Linked DNA regions of Yarrowia lipolytica. The protein of the gene in region 1 interacts with the protein of each later gene in a pairwise test. Links are inferred from orthologs where the notes say so. Each region holds a gene or a part of one and is shown on either strand. Other genes may lie near its edges. The genes, in order: YALI1_B04248g and YALI1_B26926g.

Region 1 (15,315 bases):
GGCTTGATAGACATGGAGTATTCGCACTTACTGTAGAACAGGTCCACACGGCCTTGAAGTACAAGTACAATATATACCGAGAAAACAGTCACTGAAAGAGGAAGCAGAAGATTGAACTGACACCAGAGTATGTAGGTCACTATTGTGCTGACCGGGTACCACCACTATTATTAATATACATGATGTACTGTACATACAGTACTTGTAAAGGGACGGCCACAACCAGCCCCCTCTTGGAGCCTCTCCTTGGTCAACACAGTATGTCTTCTTAACCTCTGCGATATCCGCTCTCCAGCAGTGCAATAGATCAGTGACCCCTTTCGAACACCGCATTTCGTACTCTCTCATCAGCACTCGTAGCTGTTTAATATTAACACATAAAGACCGTCTGTGCGAGAAACAAGGCATCCCATCTTCCAATCTACCTCCCCCATGTCGTCTCATCATGCCATTATATTACACTCTATAAGTATCATATCCTGCCTGCCCCTACCATTAAAATATCCAAACGTCTTTTCACCAAAATCAACTTCTCCATCCATCCAAGCCGTACTCCAGCTCGAGCTCCAGGTCGCCATCTCCCTGGCGTCCGGACTCCTGGGGCTTTGGTGGCGGGTCCTGGTACTTGAAGTCCTCCTCGGGGATACCCAGAGAGTCCTTTCGCTGAATGACGGGTGGCTGGCCCATGTCCGAGGTCTGTGAGCCGACTCCAAAGCCGGCGTACTCGTAAAAGTGGGGGTTAGCAGACTGGTCCGAGTCCGAGAAGCCCGACAGGGTGGATGGAGAGTCCTGCTGTTGAGGGTGATGTTGCTGCTGCTGGTGTTGCTGTCTCTCAGCTTCCTGCTGGTGTTGCTTCTGACGTTCAGCCTCCTTCTGTTGTCTCTCCACCTCCTGCTTCTCCTCCTCTCTCCGCTGCTCCTCGATCTGCTCGTCTCTGATTCGTGTCTGCTCATCGACAGGCTTTCGAACCATGGCCCGGAAGTCCACAACCTCGTCCAGAATCATCTGCTTCATTGCCTCCATGTCATTGACCTCCTCGAACGAGAAGTCGAACGGAGTGGGACACACAGGCTCATCTCGGGGATCGTGCCAGATCTTCAGGTAGGGGTGCTCAAGAGCCTCCTCAACCGTCACTCGCTCCGCAGGATCGAAGGCAAGCATTTTCTCCAGCAGATCCAGAGCCTCGGGGTTGGCGGTGGGGAATAGCGTGGAAAAGGGAATCTTGGGCATGAAGGGAAGACCCCGAACGTACTCCTGGGCTCTGGGACTGCCGATTCGCTTGAGAGTCTCCTCCGAGGGCGTTCCGAGGTAGTGCAGAATTTGATTGAGCTGGTCGACGTAGTTCTTGCCCTTGAACAGCGGCTTTCCTCCCAGAAGCTCGGCCAGAATGCAGCCCACGGACCAGATGTCAATGGCCTTTGTGTAAGACTGGAAAGAGAGCATGATCTCCGGGGCTCTGTACCACCGGGTGGCGACGTATTCTGTCAGGAAACCGGCATTCTTTTCGTCGTCGGAAGAGAATCCACGCGCAAGTCCGAAATCGCAAATCTTGAGCTCACAGTCGGCGTTAACCAGCAAATTGCCGGGTTTAAGATCCCGATGGAGAACATCGGCGGAATGAATGTACTTGACACCGGCGAGAATCTGGTAAACAAACGACTGGTAATGGGCGTCAGTCAGAGGCTGGCCGGACCGGATGATCTGATGCATATCGCACTCCATGAGCTCTTCGTACAGATACAGCTCGTTGAAATTGTTGGTGTCCACAATGTCCATATCGTACAGACAGGTGATGTTCTTGTGCCCCCGGAAGTGGTTCAGTAGCTTGAGCTCCCGCAACGCCCGCTTACACAGAATGTTTTTCGAGAAAATGTTGGTCACCTTCTTGATAGCAACTCCAGGCCCATCAGGCGTCCCAGTGTACTTGGCTGCACACACAATGCCGTACGCGCCATGGCCCAGCTCTTTGGTCACCTGGAACCGCTTGTCTATGGTGAATTCCTGGTTGAACACCTTGTACGTGTGTCGGTCCGCTCGTATCATGGTGGTGTCGTAACGTGTAGCGAATGAGTGGGTGCGGATGTGTCTAGTCTGTTGAGAGAGAGGTCCAAAAGGTCAAAGTTCGTGTGTGCAAAAAAAGGTCTCGTGCAAAAGTCGCGTGTCAAGGCCGTCAATAATCCCGAAGTAGTCCGTAAAAATGCTCGCGGTCGATTGATCGTTCCTGGAAGTAACACTGGTCTGGTCGACTCGTCTATTTTCAGGTGAGGTGGATGATAAAGTCAGACTTGGATAGAGTGAATTATCACACCAAGCCAAACCAAACTGAATTTCGAACTGTACGTCATTGCGGAGAATAAACTAGAAAGTAGAAAAAGTTGATGCTAGCTAATCGGCCATTTTCTTTTTCTCGCCCCTCTGGAAATCGATACAGCCTATCATCTACAGCTACTCGTCTATGGTGAATCCTGTCGCGTGCCCACACCGTTAGCTACCCACCCCGCCCTCTCTTCGTCGGCCTGCTTGCTCATGTCACCTCCATTTATTATACCTCCCAATAGCACAATTTCGCTCACCCTCCCACCTCCCACTCACCGTTCCTCCTCGCCCCCCTCGGTAATACACATAGACTTCCACTGCAACTTGCTGCGTCGTCATCAACCTTAAATACCTGACTAATAATACGGAAGTAAGTCAGATATTTTTACCACTAGATGTCACCATAGTGGCTCTCCGGCCAAATTGAACAGAATCTTGTTGGGCGTAAACGGCTTGAACATCATGCCCCGACGACTCAGCCGGTTCATGTTGGCCCAGTCTCGTATTCGTGTCATGGCCTTGTGGGGCTCGTCTCCCATGCCAAGGTAATATGCCACTAACCCTGCGGCAAGTGGAGCCGACATGGACGAGCCAGACTGAGCCACTGTGCCCCGATTGTTCTGGTTCGACAGCGAAATCACCTCTACGCCGGGCGCAAAAATGTCCACACACTGGCCCCAGTTGGAGAAGCTGGCAATCGTGTCCGTCCTGTCGTCAAACGCCCCGACGGTCAGAACCCCGTTAGCACTAGCAGGCGAGTCCAGACACGCAGGGGTGTTGGTGTTGCCTGCAGCCACCACCACAGGAATGCCAGAGTCGATCGCAGCCTCGACCGCAGCGTTGAACACCGAGTTCTTAGGTGCTCCCAAACTCATGTTGATAACCGCGGGACGGCCGTTCCGATGGATCTCAGCCGCGGCCCACTCCAAACCGGCGAGTACAGATGAGAGGGCTCCCATACCGTCCTCTCCAGTGACCTTGACATCAATGATGTTGGCCTTTTTCGCTATACCGTAGGTCTTAGACGCAGCTAGGCCGGCAACATGGGTGCCATGGCCGTTTTGATCACCCATGCCCTCGCCGGTGAAGTCTCGACCTGGTTTGCCTCGGTTCTCAAATTCAATGTGCTGATGACGCACTCCAGTATCTAGAATGTAGATGTCGACGCCGCTTCCGTCGGAAGGGTCGTGGACAAAGTCCTGGGGACCGAAGGCGCTGATGGGCTCGAGGTTGGATGTTCGGGCAAGGTGGCGAGGAGCGTTGGCCTGAACGTCGTAAATCTTGACATCGATGTCGAAGGTCCAATCTTTGATCTGTGTTAGTGACTGACAGGTTATTGATAGAGGGGACAACTTGGTTATACTCGTACGTAGCAGTGATAGTTTGTATGTTACAAACTGCTGCATCAGCCTTAGAGTATACACGTTGATAGACATCTCGATATCACATCTGCTCAATCTCTAGTAATCTCAAGTATCACATCACATAGTCTGTGTTACACAACACCACATCCGAAGGGGTATCAAAAGGTATCACTCACCATCAAGTTCTTGGCAAGGGCGTAGACCAGAGAACTGGGGATGTCCCCGGCAAGAGCCTGGAAGTTGCCGAAACTGTGGTACTTGTCGAAATGAGCCAGAAAGTGCGGATTCAGGGTGAAGAAGTCGGAGAGATGCGTCTCGTTTTTGAGCTGCAAGATCATGTTGCGGGCCTGTGCTAGCTGAAGTAGCAGCAGTACTGGAAGAAGAAATAACATGCGCGTCATAAGTTGGGTGTACTTGTACAAACAGCTCAAACCAAAGAAGGGACTGTCACTTATATATACAGTAAAGATAAGGTGGATTTTTAGACTTCCATACGAGTCACCTGTCTGTTAAGGTGGGGCACTGTATGACATACACTATAGTACAAGTACAGTATAATTACAATACTGTAACTACTGTAGTGACGACATGGACACTATTGATGCATTTCATCTTCCTATTTAGCCCAAGGAGCTTTCGTGGGGGCCATGCCTGGTGCATCTCCTCCAGGAACACTTGAGCCCGGAGCTCTGGTGGGAGGCAATGCAGTTGCACCAGGAGCTCCAGTAGTGCCAGAAGCACCCCCACTAGCCCTGTCCTCTCTCTCCTCCTTCTCTCTCGCTGCACGCTGACCGTCTCGACGAGCTAGACGCTCCACAGTCTCCATTGGCATACCTCTTGGGCCCATAAGTGGCAAACGAGCATGAGGAGTAGTCTGCGGTTCCTTCTTGGACTTGAATCCAAGGGGAAGCTTGGGCTTGACGGGCTCTTCGTCCTCCACCTTGGAGTAGGGCAGGTCGTTACCTTCAGTATCCTTCCAGGGATATAGCTCTGAACCAAAGTAAAAGTGCTGGACAACAGGGAACTTTCCCAGAACTTCTGCAATGTACATTTTGATCATTCCTGAGTGGATCTTAGCCCAGGTGGCAATTCCAGAAATATCGTAGAGGATGGGGGAGTGCTCATAGAAGGGGCCAGACTTGATATCGTAAATGAAGGCAATAGCTGCAAAGTACAGGTTGGTAGTCTTTTGCTGCTGGACGATTCGAGGATTCATGACACTCGAAGGGGGACACTCTTTATCGTACTTTGTGGGAACCAGAAGGGTAGATGCAGTTACTGATCGTGACACCTTCTGAGCCGATCCAAGAATGTAAGGGAGATGGGAGTGGTCATCCAAACCCCAAACTCCGTGAGATCCAGCAGGTTCCAGAGAGTATGTCATGATAAGTTTTCTGACAAGCACAAAGTATGTCTCAAAGATGAAGAGCACGTCTGGAGCAGGCAGATCTGTTTCCAGGAGACCCAGTTTCTGAAGGCCCCCCACAAATGCCATGAATGAGAGCTCATGGCCTGTTCCAAAATCCAGACGCTGTTTCGAGCCCATTCCCCCGTGGAGGTAGTATTGTAGCTCGATAATCGAGTCCTTGTTGATGCTAGGGAACGCCTCTGTCAGTAGAGCTGTAGTTTGGGCCTCCATCTTGTCATGCCAGTCTCTAACAGCGACGTTTCCAAATCGCCGAGGGCCCTCCAGCGGTGGCGTTTCGTCAATAAGAGCACTGAGTTTGCGACACAAAGTGACGAGAGCCTTGGAACTGGCCGCTAGCTCGTCTTCATTGGGGGGCAGAAGATGCTCTTGAACTGTAGACGAGTACTTGTCCAGTAACGAGATGATGGTGGCGTAAGGCTGAGATCGCTTGAAGGAGTCGACATCGGCGGCCGAAGAAATGCGTTTCTGAGGTTCACTGAAAGTCATTCTTGTTGAACACGAAGCTGTATGAAGAGATGAGTTGTATGTCCAAGTGTGATGATAAGCCTGTATGGTTATGCACAGTGAAACTTTGGCAGTGTCGGTGCGGAAGATGGTGGGATGATAGTGGTAGGTGGATGGAAAGTGAGCAGACCGAAATAGACTGCCTGAGAGTAGACAATTGCAATAATGTAGCTCGTTTCCCTGATTTTTTCTTCAATTGATGAAGAAGGGGGCCTCCAATGACCAGTTGGGGGCCTGCTGAATCTAGGTTCGGTCTACCTCCACAACTTTTGGTCTCTCGAATGTGAATTTATCAAACAAATATGTAGTCAATTTTGTTTCTGGTACAATCAAATGGATGTGAGAATAACTTGCTGAAAAATTGTCACTATTGGCCCACATCAACCGAGAGAGGGCTTCTCCTCCATTGCCTAACTAATGTGAACTACAACTTCAATAATACAGTTAACAGCTACTTAAGTAAAACACAGCAAGCTTCTTTTGGGAGGATTTCTGTATGAATCGAAGCACATTTTTTTACACATTCCCATTCAATGTCTCATCAAGAAGTCACCAAAGCTATCAAATGTTACATTATCCACTCCTCTCCGTCTTTTATCACCGTAATCACAATCTGTTCAGAATTGGTTAAGCTTTGTGCATGCATGTCATTCCAAACTTTTATCAACATCCAAAACATCTTCAGTGGCATCACCAAAAAAAACATCAACAATGCTTACGTGGTCTCTGGAGCTGTTTGATCGGCTGCGGGACACGATGCAGACACTGTCCAAGGAGCTCCACGACGACGATGTGGACGCCAACAACCTTCGGAAGATGCTGAACGAGGTCTCGTACCTGAAGGATGACTTTAAGATGTCTCTGGACAATCCGAAACAGAGTGCTTCTGATCGGGAGACTATCCAGAAGGGTGAGTATTGCAGGAACGACGACTGTGGTTCCAGATGGCGGAAAAATTCGGCGCGTGATTGGCGGGATTGGGTGGTGTAACAAGGGAGGTGATGGAAGCTCGTCACCAATCAGGACATGGAACCGGGTCCATGACACGTTGCTGTGCGGCGTCTCCTTGATCAGATCCCTCGGACTGCTTTATCTGTACCAGCTGCTATCTTATTCGCGCTGTGATGGAGAACATGACTCCCGGCAAAGGTTGCCATGACACCCTACTAACTCAGGAAAATACACATTTGGAGACGATGAACGTCAACTCTCTCCTGAGTTTATCGAGGGAACGCTTCTCATCGCAGATGAGCTTCAACTAAACGAAGCAGCTGCTGCAGAGCTCGTCGAGTACGCCATCTCTTCTCGACAAGGCTCCGACATGTCTCTCAGTGAAGCTGCAATCTACGCCTACTACACACGTCGACAACGTATACTCGACACAGTTCGTTTCCTATATTTTTGGATTCATGAGGAGAAGGATAAGCCCGAATTGATTAGCGAGCTCAAGAAGATCGCAGCTGTTATTGGACCCCACAAGGAAGTGTTCGACAAGTGCGTCGACAACATGTCCAAGGATGTAAATGCTCTGAAGGATCTGGACGAAAAGGAGAAGCAGGGAGTCTTTCTGGGCCGAAACCAGGACCCTAAGTTCGAGGCGACACTCAAACTGCGGCGGGACTTCATTCTGCAGGAACATGAGGATCTGGGCCAAACCATCACTGTGTTGATTCTGTCCGAGAAGCTCGATTTCGACTCCATTAAGAAGCTGATTACCGCTGCTTCTTCGCTTCGAGCATATAACACCCTGCTTTTGCATCACGTGCCTGCTTTGCTGTCCGTCTTCGGTCTGATTGAAGCCGACAATATCCAGCGACTCTCTGTTGGCGACACTCTCAAGCTCCGAAGCGACCTGTTCAGCAAGTCAATTGAGTGGGGCATTCCTACATTCCAGCGGTTCATCCAGCTTGCATTTCTTGCAGGATTAGCTGCCCTGGCACGTTCAGACGAAGGTCTCAGTTCTCAAGTGAACTTCACACGCGACATCCTCGATGTCTGTCGAGAGGCTATCGACGAGGGTGCTCTGGAGTTTGGATACGCATTGGCAACTGACACTGCTGCATTCAACGTCCGAAACGTGTTCTACGATATGCGGCCTGCTCTACAGCAGCGAGTGCCCGAGTTCAAGTTTCTGCGACGACTGTCGGCTGATTTCGAGGTACTCTGGACCCGTCAGATGCAGTGGTTCATTAGCACGTTCATTTCACATCTTCCCGACTTGCTCAAGCAGATGAAACAGTCCGAAGAAGACACTTTCCTGGCCAACGAGGCCGTATCTGATCCCGACCTTCAGCTTCAAGACGATGTGGGACGTGATCTGGAACGGTTCTACATGATGGTGTCAAATCTTTACGATGGCCACCCTGATGCTGCTTTGGATTACTGGGTTGATGGCGAGAGTGATCTGTACGGTTTTGTGGATTGGGCTTCTCATTTCGCCGACTCTCCTCTCATGGCTGCTACTGCCACAAACATGCTGGCTTCTCTATCTACTGGTCCCGAATGTGCATCCAACGCCCACCGATTTTTGGCTGCTGAGTTGCCCAAAACCAGAAACCCTAGACTCACTTGGCATCAGGTTCTGGACGCTTTCGACTTCTACGTCGATGCTCTTTCCCCCCAGGTTCCTGAGCGTGGAACCACCACAATGCCCAATGCGCTGGTTCAAGTCGCTGCCCCTGTGCTAGACAGACAGGCCACGATGATGATTGAGGCATACATGCACTTGGTTTCGCAGGTGCTGGCATACTCCCCTGAGGCAAGAGAATACCTTTTCGAGGCCGGCTTGGTAGATCGAGTGTTTGGATTGCTGACAGTTGAGACTGGAGTAACTGGAATTGTCCTGGAAGCTCTGTCCGGTCTAGCAGTTGATGCCCCTCTGGAGGTCAAGCGACTCCTCTGGACTCGTCTGGACGCCTGGGCTTTTCAGTCTGTTTACTACACAGCCGATGGACGAATCCTCAACAACAACTTGTCTCCCCGTGAGCGACTTCAGGGTCTCATCACCGATCTTCAGAGTGCTGTTGGATTCTCCAAGCTCGTTGAACGGCTCATGTACCCTGTCGTCGATATTGGTGGAGATCCTATTGTGCCTGCTCTTCCTTTCCCATTCGAGCTGGGTGCCAACTACAGATTCCCTGGCGTCTGGGTGTATGTTAACTACATGCTGGAGGATATTCTCTACTACTCTTCCGTCGCTCAACTAGAAGAGAGTCAAAAAATGATCCTGCAAATCACTTGTTTCAACTTCGCAAAGAGTTGTCTCAGACTCTTCAACCCCGACACAATCAGACTTGCCGCAGCGGCTGGTGTGTCTCTTGACAAGATTATGGACAACGACCTGACATTCAAGCAATACCTCATTGCTCATCCTTGTCCTCTGGCCATGGCTTTGATTTTCAACGAAAAGCTGTACACCATTATTCTGGGTCTGTGTGAGACGTCAGCTGATATGTCTTCTAACCTTGCTCGGTACGAGATTGAGCGAACTGCATGTGCTCTGGCTATTGTCGATCTGGTGTTCAGCATGGAGGAAAACTTCATCGACAACATGCTGCCTGTTCTGCAGGAGATGAGCAAGAAGAACGACCAGATCATCAGCAACATGAGTGTACATTCGTTCGAGGAGGCCATTCTCTTCCGGATGACTGTCATTCCCCATCTAGCCCATCACATGGCGTCTGCCAATGCTGGCATTGCTGCTACCTCTTTCAGCATTCTGTCTCGAGTTTCTCAATCGTCCCTGTTCAACGACAACGATGGACGAATCGCCACGAGCCTGGAGCCCCAGAACCGTCTGCTGCGAGCATTCAAGACATACTCTGACGCCCAGAAGATCAAGTCTGGCATTGTGGAACAACTCGAGCGACCCTTCGACGACTACGAGCACGAGCATCACAAGGCTACCGGTCTGGAGCTCAAGCTGTCGATTCTGCAATTCATTTCTTCTAACCTGGGCCGTGATTCCGCTGATGCTACCGTTGCTCATTTCCTGCTCGGATTTGCAATCAACGGAGACGGCTCTCTGGCTGCCGACAACGGCACTTATGGTGTTGCCAATCGAAACTCCGTCTTTGGGGTCATTCTCTCTCAGCTCACTCAGTCTGTTGCCAATATTGACCCTTGCAACGTCTTCCTTGACTCGGCTGAATTCGCTGCTGAATGCGCAAAGGTCGTGATGCATTTGTGTCGGAACCAAAACTCGGCTGCCATCACGTTAAGAATTTTGCGAGACTTTGGCTTCTTCGCCCAGATTCTCGCTGAGGAGCCTGTCACCGACAGACAGACTCTCTGGAACGGACAGGTGCTCGACATGAAGAAACATTTTATCATGAGTCCTGCTCCTGCAGCTTTCTCTTCTTTCTTCCACCACAGAACTGCTCTCTTCGAGTACTTTAGTATGGAGGTCCACGCTTCTGCTGTCAAGGGTTCGTTGTCTGTCGTAAAGCGGTACCTGGACTCCCTGGTGACTCTTGACAAGAAGCCCCAGTGGCACTACGCTGCTTCTCAGATCTCCACAACTGCTCTTTCGTTCCTGGATGTTCTTGAGTTCCAATGGGACACTCGGATCAGCACCCAGCCTGATTTCGGACTCTTCTCGTCCATCAACCGAGAGTATGTGGACAAGACTTTCGGCAAAGACAAGCTGATTGACATCTACGGTCTGCTGACGAAGCTTTACCAGCTTCGAGCTTATGAGCTGACCAAGACTGGTTTCGTTACTGAGGACGAGATCCCCATGTTGGATGCCCAAATGGACGAGCTTCTCGAATTTGAGATGGGCGTGCGAGCTAGTGGGCGAATGCGACAGCGACAGCTAGATTTCCTCAACTCGTGGTGCCAGTTGGTTCTCATTTTGCTCAACGACTGTGAGATGAACGCTCCCGATCGGTCTGTTTTCATCCTGGAGGCTCTACAGAAGATTGTGCCCAAGCTCGGATACTACGCTTCTTCTGACTCGGACTTTGCTGAGGTTTTAGCATCTCTCCTCTGCTCTCTGTTTGAAATGTACAGACGAGACATTGAGGCGATGAACTCCTCTGCTGGTCGAGACAGATCCCACGCTCTGTTCAGAGCCTGCATTGGAGCCATCAGAACGCCGGTTTCCACCCCCACACTCCGTTCCGACCTGTACATCATCTGCCACAAGTACCTTGAGTCGGCGGCCTCAAACCCTTCTCTGTTGAAACAAAACTACCAGGTGGTGCGTACTTCGGGAGACAAGTTGCTTGAGACTGTTTGTTCCGACGCCATTTCCGGAACCACACACCAGAGAACATTGGCTCTCATGTTCCTAGAGTCTTTGGCCTCCCTGTGTACCAGAACTGAATCTCCCTTCGTCCTGGACTGTCTGGTTCGATACAACCTGCTATTGTTGCTGGTTCGAAGCCTGAAGACTACCGACCAGCTGATTCATTCCACTTCTGAGCAGTTGCCTCTCGACAAGATCATGTCTGAGGTTACAGCTTTCCGAGCAGTCATGTTTTTCCTGCTTGAGATTGCGCAGACTCGAACTGGAGCCTTCCAGGTCGTGCAATGTGGCATTTTTCAGACCCTTCATGAGTGTCTTTTCCTCAACACTGACCCTGACGTTGGCATCCAGCTGGCTACTAAGGAGGCCAAGAAGGACAAGACGGTGGACCCCGTAGAGCTGTACTACCAGATCCTGACTCCTGTTCTGCGTCTGCTTACAGCCATTGTTCTTTCCATGGGATCGGAAAACCATGTGACTATTGAGCGGGTTGGCACCATTCTGCGAGACAGACGCCATCTAGTGGTGGCTCTGTTCAAAAAGGACGTACTCAACAAGTCTCAGTACAAGGAGGATGACTTGGAAAAGAAGAGCGGCAAGAAGAAGCCGCTGATTGGCACCGACAGTCTTGTTGATGCTGCCAAGCTGTTAACGGTGTTGGTTACTCTCACTGATGCTTTCAAATAGACACACACATAATTATACATTTATTATTGATTAACCCAAGCTGAGCTGACTCTCTTCCTCCACTAACCCTACGTAAACTCATCAACAGCAAAGAAAGCTCCGAGAACTCCGTATATTAATATTGTGAGTCGTAAATTATATTTCTTCAATTGAATTGAGCGCCTGGATCTCTCTTTCAAAACACTTCTCCATCAACTGCTCCCCTCTGGAACACTGAATTTGCACTCCTGGCTGACTTTTGTCTAACAAAATCTCAAGTAACTGGAAATTCGACAATTCGTGTAGAGACGACTTCAGTGCAGACTCTTCTGATAACGAGATTTGTGCCTGGGAGGTTTCTTCATGGTATAATATCAGAATAACCGATAGATGACCTGAATAGTGTCGACGCAACTGTCATAGCAACAAGACTAGCGATTGCAGAGACTAAGAAAACACCGGTTCCAGGGGTCCTCATCAGGATGAAACGAATGGGACACAATAAGAACCAGCAAGACGAAAATCACACAATCACAATAGCTACAATTCCCTTTAGACTCAATATATATATTGTTTATTACACTAAATTGCGACCTGGGACAGACTCGTGGCTAGCCAGTTGACCTGCCCCTGGGTAACGTAAGCTACTGGATTAGCTCGAAGTTTACTTCTTACCCTGGTTGGCAACCGCAGCGGCACCGGCAGCGGCGGCCTCGGGGTCGAGGTACTCGGCGGCCTTGGTAGGCTTGAGGTTGTCATCAAGGTCGTAGACCAGGGGGATACCGGTGGGGATGTTAAGGGCGGCGATATCGTCATCGGAGATACCGTCGAGGTGCTTGACGAGAGCTCGGAGGGAGTTTCCGTGGGCAGCAATGAGGACGGTCTTGCCGGCCTTAAGGTCGGGGACAATGTCGGAGTTGTAGTAAGGAAGGAGTCGGTCAATCACGAGCTTCAGAGACTCGGTCTTGGGCAGAATATCCTTGGGGATGTCCTGGTATCGCTCGTCGTTGTACTGAGACCACTTGTCGTCGTCAGCGATAGGGGGAGGAGGGACGTCAAAAGATCGTCGCCAGAGCTGGAACTGCTCGGGGCCGTACTCGGCGAGAGTGGCGGCCTTGTCCTTGCCCTGCAGAGCGCCGTAGTGTCGCTCGTTGAGTCGCCACGATCGCTTGGTGGGGATCCACAGTCGGTCGGCCTCATCCAGAGCAATGTTGGCGGTCTGGATGGCTCGAGAGAGCTCGGAGGTGTAGAGAATCTGGGGCTTGAGACCGGACTCCTTGAGCAGAGTACCGGCTCGCTTGGCCTCGGTGTGGCCGAGCTCGGAGAGCTTGACGTCGACCCATCCGGTGAACAGGTTCTTCTCGTTCCAGTCGGACTGGCCGTGTCGCAGCAGAATCAGTTTAGGCATTTTTGTATGTGTTTTGGTGATGTCACGAAAAGGACGACGCAGCATAGATATATATGGACGTGGAAACTAGGAGAAGGAACCTTATTGCTGATCCGTAAAATTATCGTGGAAAGAGGTGGGGAGGGAAGATATGGGTATGGGGAGATGCAGAAGCGACAAAACACGCAAATCGGAGCCGTCAACCTCACAAATATCGCCAATTCCTCCCCCATAGCTCCCCAAACAGCCCGTTGAGCGCTTTTGCCCTACCCTCTCCAGTCCAAAAAAACCCTATTGTCTGGTGACGTCTCCTACTCATGCACCTCGTGGTTGCTGTATAACTGGGGACTCCACGATCCGAGGTCAATTAGGCCACGTGACACCCAATTGTGTCGCTCGCACCTCAATTGAAGACTAAGCTCGTTCCACCACCTCAATTGAACCCATATGAGCACCAATCGCCCTCACCGCAACATAAAACGCTCCTCATAGACTAGTGCTATCCAAACGCTATTATGACGTGACGCTGAATAGGGTTGCGCTTAAACGAGGACAGTTGTCTTATTTTGGGGCAAGGTTAGGGCATCGAGGCAGTCCGTAACTGTCAGTAATTGCATTGTATCTTCCCCTTTGTCACGGACTTGCCCCTGACACTGGTTGGTTGTGTCACATTTGTCCTCAAACAGTGGTTCACGCCTTGATTTGATCTGAACCCAAAACCTGAGTGAGCACATGGAGAAGGTTAAAAACAAACCACTCTCAACGGATGCAACCCAAACCCTAGTGAACTGTGACTGCGAATGGGTCGTAATCTGTGGTTGGTACGAGACGTTAATAATCTGTGTCACGTGAGAATTAATGAGGTATCGCGATATATATAATATATTATATATTTTATATTTTTTTGGAGTTTTTTGACAAGAGCTTGAGAACGAGTTTTGGTGTATTCTTTAATTTACTGTAAAGTGAAGTATGGAAGATACTGTCGCTACTGTACATACTGTAAAGGTTGTCAAGGGTGCCTGCTGTGCCAGAGACCATAACAGTCCACTCCTCCAATTCGTTTGATAGCGTACGGTGAGGTGGGGAGTGTACAAGTACTGGTTAAGAATGTACAAGTACTCGATGAGGATTTTCAACTACAGTACTCGTACTCGTACAGCACTGGAATTGACATGTCTTCATTCCAACAACGCCTTATCTGACAACAAGAGCTGTGGTGGGGCTGTTCAAAGAGCTGAAGTTATATCCCAAGTACATCAAGTACAGTACTTACCGTAATTGCAAGTATGTTTTTTAGGCTGTCTACGGTTTTCGATAGTGAGTAGCGACAGTAGCTACATACTGGTGACTACAATACAGTCAGAAAAAGCACAGGGTCATCAAGTAATGAGAGACGCAGGTATCAACTGCAGAATATATAACCCATTCCCGGTAAAATATTGCTACAATTTCTTTCCATTGCCTACATACTCCCTGCTTACACTGTTGTGTGTTCACCATCTCACCTCCCCAGCAACACACGAAAGTTTGATTTTTTGTGCATACATATCGAAAAACATCTTTAGCATCACCACACAAAAACACATCCAACATGAGCAGCGGATTCTCGTTTGGAGCCAACACTGGTAAAACTGGCGGAGGATTCAACCTGGGCAACAATGCCTCTTCTGGTACCACCGGATCGGGATCCACCGGCTTCTCGTTTGGAGCTGGTAACAACAACAACAAAACCACAAACAACACCAACACATCCGGAGGCACTGGCGGTCTTTTTGGAGGAGGTGCCGCAGCTGGAGGAGCTGCCAAGCCCTCGTTATTCAGTGCCTCTGGCGCTTCTGGAGCTGGAGCTGGAGCTGGAGCTGGAGCTGGAGCGTCATCTGCTCCCAAGTTTAGTTTCGGTGCCACTCCTTCTGCTTCTACTCCTGCTGCATCGTCGACTGCCGCCCCTGCGGCCTCTGGAGGTCTGTTTGGAGGAGGAGCCGCTTCTTCCAAGCCCTCGTTTGGAGGATTCGGTGCTGCTAAGACCGACGATAAGCCTGCTGCTCCTGCCGCATCTACTGGAGGATTCTCGTTTGGAGCCAAGCCTGCCGACGCTGCTGCCGCGCCTAAGCCTTCCTTTGGAGGTTTTGGAGCAACCAAGACGGAAGACAAGCCCGCTGCTGCTTCTACTGACTCTGCTGCAAAGCCCAGCTTCAGCTTTGGAGGAGCCACCAAGACTGAGGCTCCCAAACCTGCTGCCACCGGAGGATTTTCTTTTGGTGCAAAAACCGAAGAGAAGAAGGATGAAGCTCCCAAGCCTGCAGCAACGGGCGGTTTCTCTTTCGGAGGTGCCAAGACTGAGGAGAAGAAGGATGATACTGCTAAGCCTGCTCTAAGCTTTGGAGGAGCCACCGCT
Region 2 (15,924 bases), about 2.3 Mb from region 1:
GTGTTTCACTAACAGACTTCCAGTTTGCCTGCGCCAGCAACGCTGCCGGAAACACCGGTATACTGGGTATCTCAGTCCAGGGTCAGGAGTCTGTCGGACGGTACGGATCGGAGTACCCCAACTTCCCCGTTGCCCTGCAGAACGCCGGATACATTGATCGACAGGTCTACTCTCTGTACTTGAACAACGCCGACTCTTCTGACGGAACATTCCTCATTGGTGGTATCGACACAGCCAAATACAGTGGAAGTCTCACAGTTCTACCACTTACCCAACAGGATGCTCTCCAGATCTCCTACAACAGCATCACCTACGATGGTGCTCAGGTCGGAGGCTCAGGTCAGGCTGTTCTCGACTCTGGAACTTCCCTTACTTACATCCCCGATGCTGCTTACCAGGCCCTGGCCACCAAGCTGGGTCTCTCTTCTTCCCCCGACCCTATCAGCGGTCTCATTGACATTCCCTGCGACTCAGACGTGTCTGTCGAGTTTAACTTCGACGGAGTGATCATCACTGCCACTTCCGAGCAGATTGTTCTTTCCACTGGAGGTTCTACCTGTGGCTTTGGAATCCAGTCCAACGCCAACTCTCAGGGAAACACCCTCTTTGGTGACACCTTCCTGAGAAATGCCTATGTGGTCTACGATCTCCAGGACTCCCAAATTGGTCTTGCCCAGGCCGTCTACACCTCTGCCTCTAACATCCAGGCTCAAAATGGCCCTCTCTCCAACTAGTCTCTATACTCTAACACCTTTATTGGATATCCTGTAGTATTAAGCCAAATGGATTCAACTAGTAAGTATTATCACGCGTCACTCAGATGAAAAGGCCAAGAAATATTGATCAAAATGTAAAGGCAGAGATGCAATAAAGCTGCCACTCATCACCCCGTTCGCTAAAAAATTGAAACTGGATTAATCGAATTTGGAGCCTTGGTCAAGTATGCTGCGGATTGTGTGCGCAACCTCGTGATCGCATTGAATGAAAGCAGGCATGAAAATAGCTTTTCAGAGGACAATAAAAGGTGTCAAGTATTATATGCGATGAATCTGAGGAGGCCAACGACAGGTGCGAGCAGTCATGATCTGGGTTGACTGAAGGATGAGAGAAGGCTGTTTGAAGATTTTGGCCGCGGCAATTAGCCGGAGGTGTTACGTAGCTAGACTACAAAGACTATGGATAAAACAAGGTGTTTTTTCTTGAAAATAATATCTGAAAAGATTCTCATCATCCTCAATCCCTCTACAAGCTCAGTCTGTACAACATGTACATATTGTACTTTTCAATAGTGCTCGCAATCAGTTGGAAAGCAATGTGACTAATATGGATTCATTGGAGCGTAAAAACTGGTGTACCACACGTTAACCAAAAGATGCTATAATAATCCCCCCAACTCTAGCTATATAGCTATCCAAAAATGTCACCAGCCTACAGTATGTAGCATACACGCAAGAGTACAGTATTTGTTAGATATCGTTTATTAGATACATACAGTAATTGATAATATATGGGTAAAGGAGAGTAATACCTCCTGGTACCTCCTGCCAGCCACAACCTTGATGACCCGCCGTTACACTAATAATGTGTGCTTTCTCGTAACTATTGTGGACCCTAAAATAGCCCTGCCATCCATTTTTGACTAGTTCACCTATTCAAGAGGTAACAATTCGCTCCGCTACTTTCATCAACCGTCGAAATGGAACTCCCTCCGGAAACTGTGTACAATATATTTGCCCATGCCGAGCTCGAAACGTGTGTGGATTTGAGGGAAGTGAGTACCTTCTGGTACGCGGCATTCAACCAGCTGGATGCACGGCTCTTGAAGCAGAAAGTGAAAGAGAGGAACCCTTGGTGTTGAAGCCTGGAGAAGACGGAACGGAACTGAAAACATGGAGGGATTGTGTCCGGGTGTTTGTGGGACGTTTGGGGGTCAGGTAAGTGGACGTCAATTGAGTGTCTCGAGGACATTAAATACCCTACAGAGCTGACAGAAGCGATTTCCTTGAATATTGACGGGGTAGAGACCACTCTTCCAAAAGATTACAAGCCTCTGATGGTCACGCGAGAGCCACAGTACAACACCATGTTGGAGCTGGATGACAATTACTACATGGACTTGCATACCATGATGGCTCATAGATCTCAGCCTCCTTCATCGCTACTGGACTTTCTCAGGACAGTTGAAGAGACTGACGAAATAGGAGTATACGACTGTGATGGTGTGAGAGTTGTTGTTCCGATAGACATGGTCACGAATAAAACAAGCTGTGACGTCAACGAAGACATGGTGGTGGTGTACAGCGCACAGGACGTGTGGATTTTTTGCCTCGAGAATACCCAGACTTTCGGCAAGGACGCGGATGGAAGCGTTCAGGAAAGGGAATCACTAACCGAAGAGGTCAAAGAAATATGACCTCTGGTTATACGTTTTTGGTCGAGGATGATGATCTTTTGCGGGTTCCACAGCCAATGGTGCTTGTTGTCGATCTGGACAACCGACGAGTGCTTCATATTGCAGAGACACGAGATGTCAAGTTTGATGAATCACATGTCGATACTGACGAGGTTCCCAAAACTAATTCGTTTCTATCGTCGGTCGTAGGAGTTAACTCGGTTTATAATGGACTCCAATGGATGGTAGACCGTTCTCCAGAAGGGTACATGGGGTTATTTCCCATTTTCATCGACATGAAAGATATTCCTGAGGACGATGGAAGTGGGACTACAAGAGTGAGCAAGATGTACTATTGTAAAGACCGGATCATGCTGTTCGAAAGGTACATGGACTCTCTCTTCTCTAGTATCCCACGGGGGGCTCAACCATACGTACTGTTTCTCTATATTACCGTGTATTTTGGGGGAAAGAGACAAGAATCTTTATTAATTGTGGATCTGGCTACCTGGAATGTCTGGTTGATGAAAGAAAACTTTGAGTTGAACCAAGGCTCTCTGGTATTATTTGGACGAGAATTGTTTGTTGGATATTCAGAGGGAAAACTGGGAGCCTAGATGTACAGTCAGGATATGATCGATATCTACAAGACACGTTTACTGCGAATGAAGATGTTGTATCCACGCAGGGGGGAATATGACGTGGGCAGGGACATGAGCCTGGAGGATGATTTTGAGGTACAGGACCAGTTGGAGTAGAGTAGGAGTAGGAGATGGTGTTATAATTTATTGTAATTTGTGTTTTTTATTCGAGTATGCTGTACACTACATATTATACATAGATTGAACTGACAACGGAGTCACAATAGGAAGCCTCGTATGTACACAAACTATGGTAGATATTTATGGAGGCTTGTTAATACCCTGAGAACATGTTAACACCTCATTGAGTCCGTTAAAATCAAAAAAATTATCGACACTAGAATCCAGTGTTTCTATACTGAATTATCAAGAATGTTGGTAGACAAAGCGTATGTACTGGTACAACTACAAAGTATGTGAGTAGAACTGAATTACCAATACGAGTATTGTAAAACACATTAATTAATAGACTTCTTGGGCTGTGTTATATCACATGACCATCAACAACTACCACCAGTTATAGTACAGTACCACAGGCTACTGCTATCACTTGCTATGCTTCGATACACCCTCCCACGTGCTCGGACCTACTGTCTTCATTACATCAACAGTACACTAATTATCAGTCATTGCTATGTACGAGCTCTTTAGCTATTGAATAAATACGATATCACATTCCAATCAAGTTCCAGCCTTGTGATTGGTCAAGACCAGTAACGGGTTCACTGGTTCTCCTTCTCGTCACAATCTGACTCCTCAGACATGGACTTCTGAAGTCGAGCGTTGAAGGACAATCCAGGCTTAGCCTTGTTGTTGCTGTGTTAGTAGGAACTGGGGAGATATTAGATCACGGGGTGCAACCTGACGAAGTGTTTTGTGGTTCGACAGATCTTGATACCAGGTAGATCAGTGAAAGCCATGGAGAGGAAAGGCACAACAGGTAGGTTGTGAGGTTCCAATCACGTGTGATAGGCCACATGATTGTCAGCTGACTTAGAAATACTCACATAGAGATGTATTTGTTCTTGTGGGCTCTCAGCTTGGCGGAGCATGGGCTCATGAGGTTGTCGGTTGGACTGGCAAAGCTCTTCTGCTGAAACAACTTCTTGTGGAGCTGTCGCTGCATCATGTTGCCGGAGTTACCGGAAGAAGGGTTGAGGGGAGCCTGGTTCATTTTTCTGTGTGTGGAAGGGAGATGTTGAATGTAGTGTTTAGGACCCAGGACCCTCTCTATATATCAGTTTAAGGGCCCATGTATGTGTGAGCAGGGATTTAGAGTTGTTTGGATCCGTCCTAATTGGGATTAGCCATTGCCTTAAATATGCATGAGAGATGTATATAGAGTGACCGGGAGATGGTGCAATATGGGATGTGAGATGTAAATAGAAGTCTATAAAGGGTGGTATCAAGATATATAGGACTATCTAAAAGCATCCATTGCATTATTATTTTAATCCCATTACTATTCGTCCAGATATAGTAACTATTCCATTCTTCCGCCCCATCGACACTGTATCTAGGCAACCATAAACGCGTACACTGTAGTATGCGTTAAAAATATTTTGGCTTTCAATTAAGCTCCTCAATTTAGGCACTGCAAAATGTGATTTCAAACGGTGCGAGATAGCAAGGCGGCATTGGCGTGGGGTTTTCATGAAGAAAACATCATCAATGTGACCAATGGGACTGTATTTTTGGCTGGTATGATTTTTGGCTGTATAATTCGCAATTGTCGTGGTCTTTCTGCCACTATTACCAGCCCTTTCTCATCGACTAATTGTAGACTGTATGAAGTTTCAGATTATCATTCGAAGACGATACAGTGTGGAACATGGCATTGTCTATGCCAGATCAACGAGGAGTAGTAGCAATTCTTGGTGAGTCGAAAGTGGCTTAAGTTGAGGGCAAATGGAAAGTGTACGATCTCGATTTACTTGTATAGAATGTGCGAAACGGGAGCAATAAGCATTTTCCGATCAGAGCAAGATATGCAATGAGCCGTGGAAGGCAAAGGTGCGAGCAACGTACAGTAATACCTATGCCTAACAATTCAATTCATCCAGATCACGTATTATCAGCTACTAGTATCTATCACATGTAGCAACGACGTATTATTATTGTTACAGCGCGATCGTGAGATCGTCTACAGTGTGGAGATGTACAGTGCTACTTGCAGTGACCAGTGGATCGTACAGTCAGAGACGACGGCATCCAGGGGTAGGTGCGCAGCATGTGAACCGTACATTTAATGTTGAATATTGTCATATATGGTGGAGATGATAGCAAAGACTTCTGTCATCAGGTGGGTTGATGACGTCAGGGCTGGTTCTTGAGGTGGATCATGAGCATTAGCTGTCCCGATAGTTGACATTAGTTTGGATACGTAAATTAGTTGAGAGTTTAGTTGAGATGTGAATATTGAGACTGATCGGATACAATAGAGGAATCTACATAGCTTCAAATGGGAATCTGACTGATCATGTGTTTTCATTGCACCAGTTTCAGTAGACCTGGGGTTTTGGTGGCTCATAATAAGACCCACAGAGCCCTATAGAAGCCATATCTGATGACTAACATCCCAACGTTTTGAATACTTGGGCAACATTTGGAGCTCACTTCTAAGCAAAAGTAGGGCTAGGAACAACAGCAAAATCCCACGGAAAACTCTGTGTATGAGTGGAGGAATCAGCCTGGCTCAGCGGCAGCTAAATAAAAAAAAAAAAGACACGAACCTCAAGTTTGAGCATGATCAGTAAGGGGCCCGAGGTACGTTTAGGACATCTACCATGGTATAGGCCAATATGTACTATGGACGCAAACAATGATATCCACAGGATCGAGCTGAATCAGACGAGCATTCAGATATCAAGGCTTCCACAACTTTTTACTCGATTACCCCATAATGAGGCATATTCTTAGCTTCTTGACTTTGGGGGTCGTTAACCTGTTGGTGGAGTTTGACCTTGAGTCTAATAGTACGCGAAATACAACCGAAGTATGCTTCGAAAAGCAGTCACTTCTATGTACTTGGAGTACTACAAGTAGCTCCTTGACAATATATACCAATAGGGCCTGTCACTAAGATGCAAAATGACTCCTTCCTCCCCGCCTTTTCTCCTTCCAAACTCAGTTCAATAAATGGCTGTTATTAGTTCATATCACTGGTATCTTGGTTGTAACTTTCCGTGCCAACATTCCGTCAATTGTTCCGTGCAGTTTCCATGGCGCAGCCAAATATGCAGAGCTTAAGGACACGCCAATATGGCAGCAATGGGACGACAGTTGAAATACTTGTATGTACGAATATTGATTGGATGGGGGTACGCGACACCCAAGTATATGTCTCATATATCAGAACCACTCGAGGTCCAACTCCGTCAAATAACTGCTCTGCGTTATAGCCGTTCACATATATATTTTCGGAGTTGGATTTTTCGGCGTTTTCGGAAAAAAAGCCTCGGCCGACAATCCGTAATCGCCGACGGGGATCCCCAGACCTTATGACTTCAGGACAAGGTAGATATAGCTCATGTTGCGGTCACGAGGAGGTCGTTAGAGTGCAGCGCCCTCACATGTCACTAAAACGGCTAAAATAGATCCGTTTCTTTATGCGCGCACCACGTGTCTTTTTTGTGTCTCGTTCGTGACGGAACAGAGTGGATCGGGTCAGCACGGCATAGTAAGGCTGAAGGCAGGAGTTACTAAAAGAGTAGCGCTCCAAGCACGAGTATCAGTAAGAGTACGAGTACGTATACGTCATAGTGCCTATGATGATAGCCAATGGCTGGTATAGACAAAGACAGTCTGGTATATTACCGCTCCCCCAGGACACATGACGACGTCGGGTCGTTGTTCCGTGTCCCGTTCTGGCTGTCTCGCCTTCTTTGCTGTTCCACAGCTTAATTCGGAGATGGCTATCTGAATACATGGTTGCTGTGTGGATGAGACAATCACGTGACAGTGTGATCCGTGGGGCGCTCACGCAAATTCCGCAGCTCCAATCTGCTTCTTTTCTTTGCTACTGTAATCTCATGACACGCACGCCGATTATTAAAAGTACTCTTGCCCCTTGGGTGTATGTGTGTCTCTCTGTCCTGTCAAATAAGTTCACCTTCAATGGATGCTTAGTGTTGGAACCTTGATGTTAGCGTGAACTTTGTGCATGTCCCAAAATGGCCCAAAAACGGCAGTCTCAAGTGGAACCATAAACTCGGCCGGGTAATTGCACGACGTGGAGGCAATGGGGTCTAGTGGATGGAGCAGTGTTGTAGTCGTAGGCGTCGAGGTAGGGGTGAATTGACAACGGCAGAGGGCCATATAAAGGTATATTGGATCTTCTTCAACTTCTCTACCCCCCCACCGGAATACGTACAAGTAGTAAATACCTCCTTCATCTTTCCCATTTCTATAGATACCCAAATGTCGCAGGTCACAGAAACCCCTTAAAGTTCAGATCGCCATCTCCCGTTTCTCTCTTCTGTGCAACAGATTGTACTTGACCCTCAAGCTGGGACTCACACGCCGCTTCACATCACCGCTCCAGCACCACACCTTTATTTCGACTGACCTAGCACACACAGATAGACGCGACTTGGACGAACCCCTGCTAAACACATCATGAACTCGTTCTTCAACTCCGTGTCGGATTTCATCCACTCGGTCACAACCCCAGACAGATACGCGTCGCAACAGCGATCGTCAAAGGCGTCACAAAGCGCCGGCGCAAACTCCCAGAACAGACCGCTCTACAACAATGACGACAACCAGAGTGAAATGTACCAGGCTTCCTCCTCGTACACTGGAGGGTACACAAACTCCCCTTCGGCGTCGTCGTCCAATCTCGCCGGAGGAGCCGCTGCTGACAGAGCCAACCCCTACAGCTCCCGTAACAACTCGACCACCAACTTCTCGGCCTCATCCACGTCGGTCAATAAGGCTCCCTACGCTCCTGGATCACGGTCGTCCGCAATTGGAAACAATGACCCCGCAGGAGTCACCCGAGACTCACACGAATTGCAGGAGTACGTTGACGGTCAGCCGCCGGCTCCTTCGGTGGCCATGTCATGGGAGCGAATCGACAAGTGGGCTGACGAACACTACCCCGAGCTCAACGATCAGCTCTGCTACCCTGCCACCGCCTCCGATCTCAACGAACTGGAGGCCGATCTCGACTGTTCCCTTCCCCTGGATGTTCGAGACTCGTGTCTGATTCATGACGGCCAGGAGAAGTTTGGCCGACCCTCAGGCATCATCTTCGGCATCACCCTGCTCGATCTCGAGACCATTGCCGAGGAGTGGTACTCGTGGAAAAAGGCCGCCATCCGAATCAACCGGGAGATTGCTCGGGCCACCGGCCAGACCCCCACTAAGCAGGGCGGCATCTTCATCAATCCCAACGCCGGCTCTCCCAACTCTTCCACCCCCGGTTCCCCCGTGGCCTCTGTGGCCCGACAAAAGAACATCAGCTCATGGCTCGCGTCGCAGGACTCTGTCCCCGAGGGAGCCGTCCAGCTGGTTTATGCACACCCCGGCTGGATCCCTCTGGCCAACGATCGAGCCGGAAACAACATTGCTGTCGATCTGGCACCTGGCAAGAAGGGGAAATGGGGTCAGGTGATTCTGTTCGGTCGGGAGTTTGACCGAAAATACGTGGTGGCCCAGTCGTGGGCTCACTTCCTGGCCATGGTCGCCGATGACTTTGACCGGGGCAACTGGGAAGTTGACCACGACACTGAGGAGCTGTGGTTCAAGACCGACCGAGGCACATTTGTTAGCTACTTCACTGTACTCAAGACCCGAGTGGAGCGACAGTTCCGACACCAGATGCAGCGACGGGAACATGAGCGACGACAGGCCGCTGCCGCCGCTCAGCAGCAGCAGCAGCAGCAGCAACATCACGCACAGGGAGGCCTCCACTCTCCCTCACCACAGCATACACAGAGCATGCCAGCCCCTGGCCTGGGCAAGCCCCTGACCTCTAAGCCGGCCCAGGATTTGGACATCGTCGACCTCAACGAGGACACTGCCACCATTAAGGACAAGGGCAAGGCTACTATGGGCTCTGCTCTCCGAAAGACTATTGTTGACGAGAGCAAGACTGCTCACACAATTGTGGAGCCTCTTGAGGAGTCTGAGGAGATCAAGGGCAAGGGCAAGGGCAAGGAGGAGGATGTCAACGAAGCCGCCGAAAAGGCCAAGGTGGAGGCCACCGAGAAGACCAAGAAGGCTGCCAAGGAAGCTGCTGATAAGGAAGCAGAGCTCAAGAAGGCCGCCGAGAAGGCCGCTGAGGAGAAGGCCAAGGCTGAGAAGAAGGCTGCTGAGGCTCGAGAGAAGGAGGAGAAGGAGGCCAAGGCTGCCGCCAAAGCCAAGGAGGAGGAGCTCAAGAAAGAGGAGGTAGCTAAGGCTGCCGCCAAGGCTGAAGAGGAGCAGAAGGCCACCGCTGCCGCTGAGGCTGCCAAGGCTGAGGCTAAGCGAGCTGCTGAGGCCGACGCTTCCAAGAAGGTAGAGGCCGAGAAGGCTGCCGCTGAGGAGTCTAAGGAGTCTAAGGCTGAGTCTGAGGAGAGCAAGGTCGAGAGGGATCTCGAGGAGCTCAAGATTGACGAGGAAAACGGTAATGCCGAGGAGGCCGATGAGGAGGCCGATGACGATGATGAAGATGACGAGGAGGAGGGTGACAGCAAGGAGGGTGAGGAGACCAAGAGCACAACCGCCTCAAAGTCCAAGTCCAAGAAGAAGAATAAGAAGAAGGGCAAGAAATAATGTATGTATGCATAACTTTTTGATGATGCTGTAAGATATTCAGAAAATATAAAAAAAGTGTTTGTTACAGAAAGACTGGGTGTGTTTCGTGTTGAATTACCTGTGAGAACAATAAGGTGGCTCGGCCCACTGTAATGTACATACTGTTACTATAGCTACTTGTAGCAATGGTATCAGAGAAGCTAGTTTTGGAGAACATTCTGTTGACCAAAGACGAGTCGTTTCGGTTCATCTTCTTTCCTCCCTCCCCAAGTGTATCTTGCTTTATCCCAGAGGCCATTCTGTTTCTCCACTTCTCCATTATAGTATGCTTTTGCTCTGAAGAAGCCAAATGCAAAATTGGACACAAACATGGACCCCAGGAAAAGCAGTGAAATGAGCCCCAAGGCCTTGTATGAGAATCTGTCAATGAACCCCGTGATGATTTCGGCCAGTGTTTCGGCTCCGAGACGGGCTCGGTTAACGGCATGTTCGTCTCTGTTCATGCACAGTTCCCATTGGTCACAGAGAGTCTCCAGAGCTGGACGGCGGGAGTTGGCTGCACATTCGTTAAGCAGGTACAGCTTTGCACACTTGCTTTTTGCCATAAGGATCTCGCCCGAATGAGCTGAGAACTTGAAACCAACGTCCTGTCGGACCGAGGAAATAAATAAGTAGACCACGTAGGCCATGACGGCCAGCATGATGCCGTTGAACGCGAGCTGTAGATACGAGGTAATGATGTACGGCAGGTTGGGGTTTTGAATCATCCATCCAAGGGTTGGGTTGGGCAGATGAAGGTGGTATTCTGCAGACTGATCCTGCCCCGGGCTTTGAGCCTCGGAAGTGTGAAGAGTTGGTGCTGGAGTGTGTACTGCTGCCTGGGCAGATTGAGGAGAGAAGTCGCCGTGTTTAGCGTCTGGTCGAAGATCGGGATCGATATCGTCTGCCTGATCAAGGGGTTTACCTTCATTGACAGGGGAGTAGAGGACCATGCTCATATCCACGTCTTCATTCTTCTCAATCTCCTTGACAGCAAACTGGGCACCGAGTTCAGTGGGATTGAACACAGATGAGATCTTCCATGGCGAGTTGGGTGCCGCAGCAGCAACTGACACCGAGGAAGTTCTTCTCTTACCTGCCTTGATGGGTGTAGACACAGGCGGAAGGAACTCGGGGTTCATGCGCGATAGGTTGACAGATTGAAGGTCAAGAAGATCCGTGGGGTCGTCAATGTCCATTTCGTCGGGGTCTTGGGTCTCGCTAGTTCGCAGATTGGAGAACTCCGAGGTCAGATCGTCAAACGGTTGTTGTTGCTGCAAGGGTCGGTGGTATTGTAACTGACGGTTCCGGACATCCTGGTCAGATAACGTGAAGCCACTGAATCCGGTCACCAGAGGCTCGTCGTCGGGCGCTTCGTCGATACTCATTTCTGCAAATGACATGGTTGTAGTTATGTCATACAGTGTATGCCACTTGAAACTTGATGCCAGCCGTATGCAGCCCGAGATGCATGAAAACAGATATTATTTTTGTTTAGCTGTATTAAGGTTACTTGGTACACTACAAGTAGTTTAGTCCCAACACAAGCAACGTGCGTACACTTGTGTGCCCATGCTCCACGCCACACAGAACAGCTCAGATTGCCTCTTCTCCGAGCTCGACAGTGATACCGACACAGACAAACCACTGCTTCACGATACCTCACACACCGTTCGTTTCTGCGAACCCCAGACCAAGCGGCGCATGGGCTTCCGCAAGTGGTTTTCTAGGACCAGCAATGAGAAGAGGCCTCTCATAGACCGCATCACCACACCCATGGACGAGATTTTGACCGACGAACCGCCCACGACTACAGACGCTTTGACTTCTCCTCCACGTGGCAGAAAATACAGAGACCATCAGAGAGAAGAGTATGAACGAAGACAGCATTATGAGAGGACGCGAGAACGGGACAGAGACAGGGACAGAGAGGGAGATAAGTACAGTGTTCCCCGGAGACAGCTTCAGGACTCTGCTCGTTGGCATGAACATGTCAGACAACAGCAACCTCACATACATCAAGCACACCAGATACCATACCAGATACCATACCAGATGCCACCAGGGCTGAGGCAACATATGCATCCTGCGTATCTTCAGCCACGACAGATCAGCCAGACGCCAGACGCCATATCGGGATACCCCAACCAGTCGTTACTGCGACCAATGTCTCAGGTGATTGAACCGCGATACATACGGACAGAGGGATTCCCTGTACCACCAGTGAAGTACGCACAGGTCCCCCAGGGAATGAAAGCGGAGATAATGGAGCTGAAGGACGATGCTGGAAATGATAAGAATGAGGAAAAGAAGTATGCCAAGGATAAGAAGGACGACAAGAAGAAGGAAAGCGAAAGTCCGCAAATGCAGTCAAATATTGAGAAGATGGTCAAGAACGCGTTACAGAACCATCGCCCGGCAGTCTACGAGACTCTTGTTCGGATGAACTCGTTTGTCCTTTCGCTTAAGTTAGCCCTCTGTATAGCCTGTGTGGCTTTTTATCCACTGGTAGGTATTCTTCTCATTGTGGTTCTTTTTGGGTCTGAGATCTTGCTTGAACTAGCTATAAAGTGTGGTCCTGACAGGAGTTAGCTAAAAGACAGTACATACTCGTACCTGTATGTAGCTATGTAAGAGGATATATAGTGTACCATGAAATATACAGTAGCCATTTTGGAGACTATTGTCTCTGGCCTTTAATCTGTGTGTGCCTAATTCGTTTCTGCTATTTATGTTTCCATCTCATCAATTGTAAATCCTATCAGGAAGAGTTTCCATCATATTAGTCCAGGTTCGCTCATCTACCCAGGATCTGAGATTTTGCAGAATGGCATGATTATCAATAACTCTGAAAGGCTCCACATCTCCAGGATTGAGCAGCAGTCTCTGTTTTCCTCCGCCAGTGTGGGGCCAATCAGAAGCCCAAATTAGCTTGTTGGGGCTCTCCGAGGCGAAGAACTGAACCACTTCTTCTAAGTCGCTGTATCCAGGCCCCTGTTCAGACAATCTGTAGAATCCAGAGACTCGAATGAGCACATTTTTAGCAGTCAGCTTGATGAGGGACTCGAATCCAGTGTCTCCGGGGCTCTTCATCCCACCCAAATGGTCTGCAATTACCGTTACTGGTAGGTTCCCAATGACATCAAACAGACTGTCCCAGTAGTTTGGTGGAATATAGGCCTGGATGAAGTAGCCGAGAGGGCCGACAAGAGCGGCTGTCTTGACTAGGGTCTTAGAGACATATTCAACGTCCAATTGACCGGTAGACACGACATTGACTCTGACACCTCTGATACCCAGTTCCCACCACTCTTGCAGCAGCTCCACGGGTGTGTTATCAGGATCAATTACCACCACTCCTCTCAATTTGTATCCGTTTTGCCGATCGGAGTGACCTCTGAGCGTGTCAATAATAAGCGAATTGTCTGTTCCATAAGGCGAGGGCTGGACCAGTACATTGTTACCAATCATGCCTCCACACAGATATCTGGAATGGGCCTCCAGACCAGGTAGAAGTGCCTGGTCGGTAGTGTATGTTCGTCTTCCGGCAAACGGATAATTAATTGGGTCAAATAGATGAACGTGTGTATCCCACGAGTTTGGCGAAAGCATTTTGTGTACTGTTGGTATTGCTGGGTGCACGTCTGAGGAAGGTCGCCTGGCTTATATGCACCCCACACTCGTCTAGGTTCAAAGTTGATCCGGAGCTTTTAGGTCGGATCCGAGTCGGTCTATTTGTAGTGGAACAAATGCGGATGCAAACCGATTAATGGAGATCTATCCACATGCCATCAGTCGTGCGACATTCTAAATCAAGCTGCTCATCTGTTTTTGTGTGGTTACTGAGGGCATCTCGTTGATCCTTTTATTAACACAGCCTTGCCGTCGAAATCATAAATGTGGGGCATGAAGGTGTAATCTCAACACCACGAAACACCTCAACGGAGAGGAAGGTGGAGCTCAAACGCTCAAATATGCTCAAAAGAGGCGGTGGGGGAATTTGAATCAGAAATGAGACAAGTGCACTTCAGTGCTGCTCCCCAAAGCTGCAATATGAAGCTTGAGGGTACAACGCAGACAACGATATATCCACAGGCTACTGCTAAAAGCTGGCGCGTGGATATAAGAAAACTGTCAGCTGTCAAATTCATCAGAATGGATCTAGAGTAGTGAAATTGAGGCCCAACAATTTACCGACCGTGGAATAAAAAAAAAACCAATTTCAACACCCCTCGTGGACTAAATACAGCAATTTGATGTCGCTCTATACGGCACTCACCAGTGGTTACTGCCAATTAGGTTTGCGCTCGCTAAGCGGAAAAATGAACCTTGCTAGCGGAACATATTTTAACGTGATACAAGAATACAGGGGATGTAAGATGAGGTGAGACGAGGATGGTTTAGCTGAATTGTGTCTCTACTCGGTGTCAGATACACTTTCTTGCAAGTGTCTGTTTACGTAGCTTGGTCCTGATGGCCACCTTGATCATCGTGACATCTGTCTACTTGTAGTTCCACACTATCCCCACCAAGGCAACCTAGCTCTGATTAGCTACATGCATCGTTATGGCGTCATTGGGTCATGAAACAGTAATCTTGTAACGTACAGTAATACAACATCGATGGTTAAAGGTGAGATAATTGGTGAGATAAAAGGATCTCCATTTCCTGTCGTACGACTACTGTAGCCTATACACGGTTGTTGTTTTTTTCAGATCTAATCACGTTGGGCACAAAATAGAAAAGATACTTGAACAAAAGCACAGGTTGCACTGATCCCACTATTAGTTGTCATTTTACTTCAGAATAAAAGTAGCTTGGAGCTCATTAATGTTTTATTCAATTCATTCTCGAACGTCATGGCATCCATCTCCCATGCATCTATCTCCCAATACTATATACATGTCTATCACTCGTCGTCAGAATAGTCACTGAGCTCGGCGTCCTCCAGCTCAACAGCATCGTCGTTAAGAGGAAACCGCAGAATAGCAGCAATACCTCCCAGGGCGTCAATTTGACGCCCCGAGTCCTGCAGATGCGAATACATAAAGACCTTGCCTCCGTTCTGCTGCACAGCCTGAGTGGCCTCAGCGTATCTGGATCTCTTAGCGTGATCGAATCCACGCACAAAGTTGGACGACAGGAACAACACAGAAACAGCGCTCATTTCGAGAGCGTAATCCACGTGCTTTTCTCCGTACCACACTCGATCTGGGTCTGTATGGAACATGCGTTGGAACTGGTCCATTTCGTTTCCGTCAGCAGCAATGGCCAGTTTGTTGAGTGCGGATTTGTAGGAGATTGACTTGAGAGCCTCTCGAATAGCAGTCTTGCCTTCGGACGAAGTTTCCAGTGTGATAAAGCCCTGTTGCAGCTGGATGGCTGTTTTCACCTTATTATCCACAGCCCATGCCTTGAAATACTCCGAGAAGAGCTTGTTCATGTAAGGCATGGAGATGAGCAGCACGGGAATAGTCCAGTCGGCTTTGCATCTGTTTTCAATGGTTCGCAGCAGCGTTTCCTTGGCCACGTTAAAGAAGTCGTTGTATTGCTTACCTCGAGTCTTTCCGACCGAGCCCTGTCCGTCGTATTTTCGAGGAATGGCCTTGTATCCCTGAACCAGCACTCGAGTGACACTATGACGCAGCTCGTAAATGGTGAACTTGCCAGTGGAGTTGAACACCATAGCAAGAGCGCTCATTGTGTCTGCTCCCACGTACTGGTCGAGCGTCTGGAGCGCAAAGAAATCCCAGAACTCCTTAATCACGGTCACCTCATCGCCTGGTGTAAGAGCCAACGTGTGATATTTCGTTTTGAGAGACTCGTGGTGGCCAGCATCGGTAATGACGCCTGTGATTCGGATTTCCTCGCCGTCGAAAACAATCTTCTGGGCACGAACAGTGATGTAAATGAGCTTTCGAAGCACCTTCTTCTTGCCTGCATTGCCCTGGATCTGCTCGTCATCAAAGGCGCCTGTGGTTTGTGGAACTGCTCGCAGTGTCTTGGCCTCGACCAAATCGCCTCTTTGGATCACGTTGGTCAGCGCATACAGGTCGTCAGTGGAATCCAGAGCGAGCTTTTTGTACTCCAGCTTGTTTTTCAGTCCCTTGG

Evidence for each region.
Region 2: the proteins of YALI1_B04248g (region 1) and YALI1_B26926g interact in a two-hybrid assay, tested with the Saccharomyces cerevisiae proteins (2 studies listed by BioGRID). The link is inferred for Yarrowia lipolytica from reciprocal best matches to the Saccharomyces cerevisiae genes SLT2 and SMI1.

The regions. Positions count from the first base shown.
Region 1 is NC_090771.1:411,566-426,880, reverse strand, and holds YALI1_B04248g (uncharacterized protein), read right to left. Parts: upstream 2,044-15,315; coding exon 526-2,043; downstream 1-525. Other genes in the region: YALI1_B04228g (uncharacterized protein), read right to left, coding at 2,715-3,629, 3,857-4,081; YALI1_B04212g (uncharacterized protein), read right to left, coding at 4,297-5,595; YALI1_B04200g (uncharacterized protein), read left to right, coding at 6,325-6,523, 6,789-11,551; YALI1_B04138g (uncharacterized protein), read right to left, coding at 12,195-12,983; YALI1_B04123g (uncharacterized protein), read left to right, coding at 14,512-15,315. UniProt on the Saccharomyces cerevisiae protein: Serine/threonine protein kinase involved in a signal transduction pathway that plays a role in yeast cell morphogenesis and cell growth.
Region 2 is NC_090771.1:2,684,979-2,700,902, forward strand, and holds YALI1_B26926g (uncharacterized protein), read left to right. Parts: upstream 1-7,650; coding exon 7,651-9,792; downstream 9,793-15,924. Other genes in the region: YALI1_B26845g (uncharacterized protein), read left to right, coding at 1-734; YALI1_B26874g (uncharacterized protein), read left to right, coding at 2,410-3,009; YALI1_B26888g (uncharacterized protein), read right to left, coding at 3,756-3,849, 4,041-4,207; YALI1_B26962g (uncharacterized protein), read right to left, coding at 9,975-11,216; YALI1_B26963g (uncharacterized protein), read left to right, coding at 11,386-12,405; YALI1_B26984g (uncharacterized protein), read right to left, coding at 12,559-13,425; YALI1_B27009g (uncharacterized protein), read right to left, coding at 14,723-15,924. UniProt on the Saccharomyces cerevisiae protein: Protein involved in the regulation of cell wall assembly and 1,3-beta-glucan synthesis, possibly through the transcriptional regulation of cell wall glucan and chitin synthesis.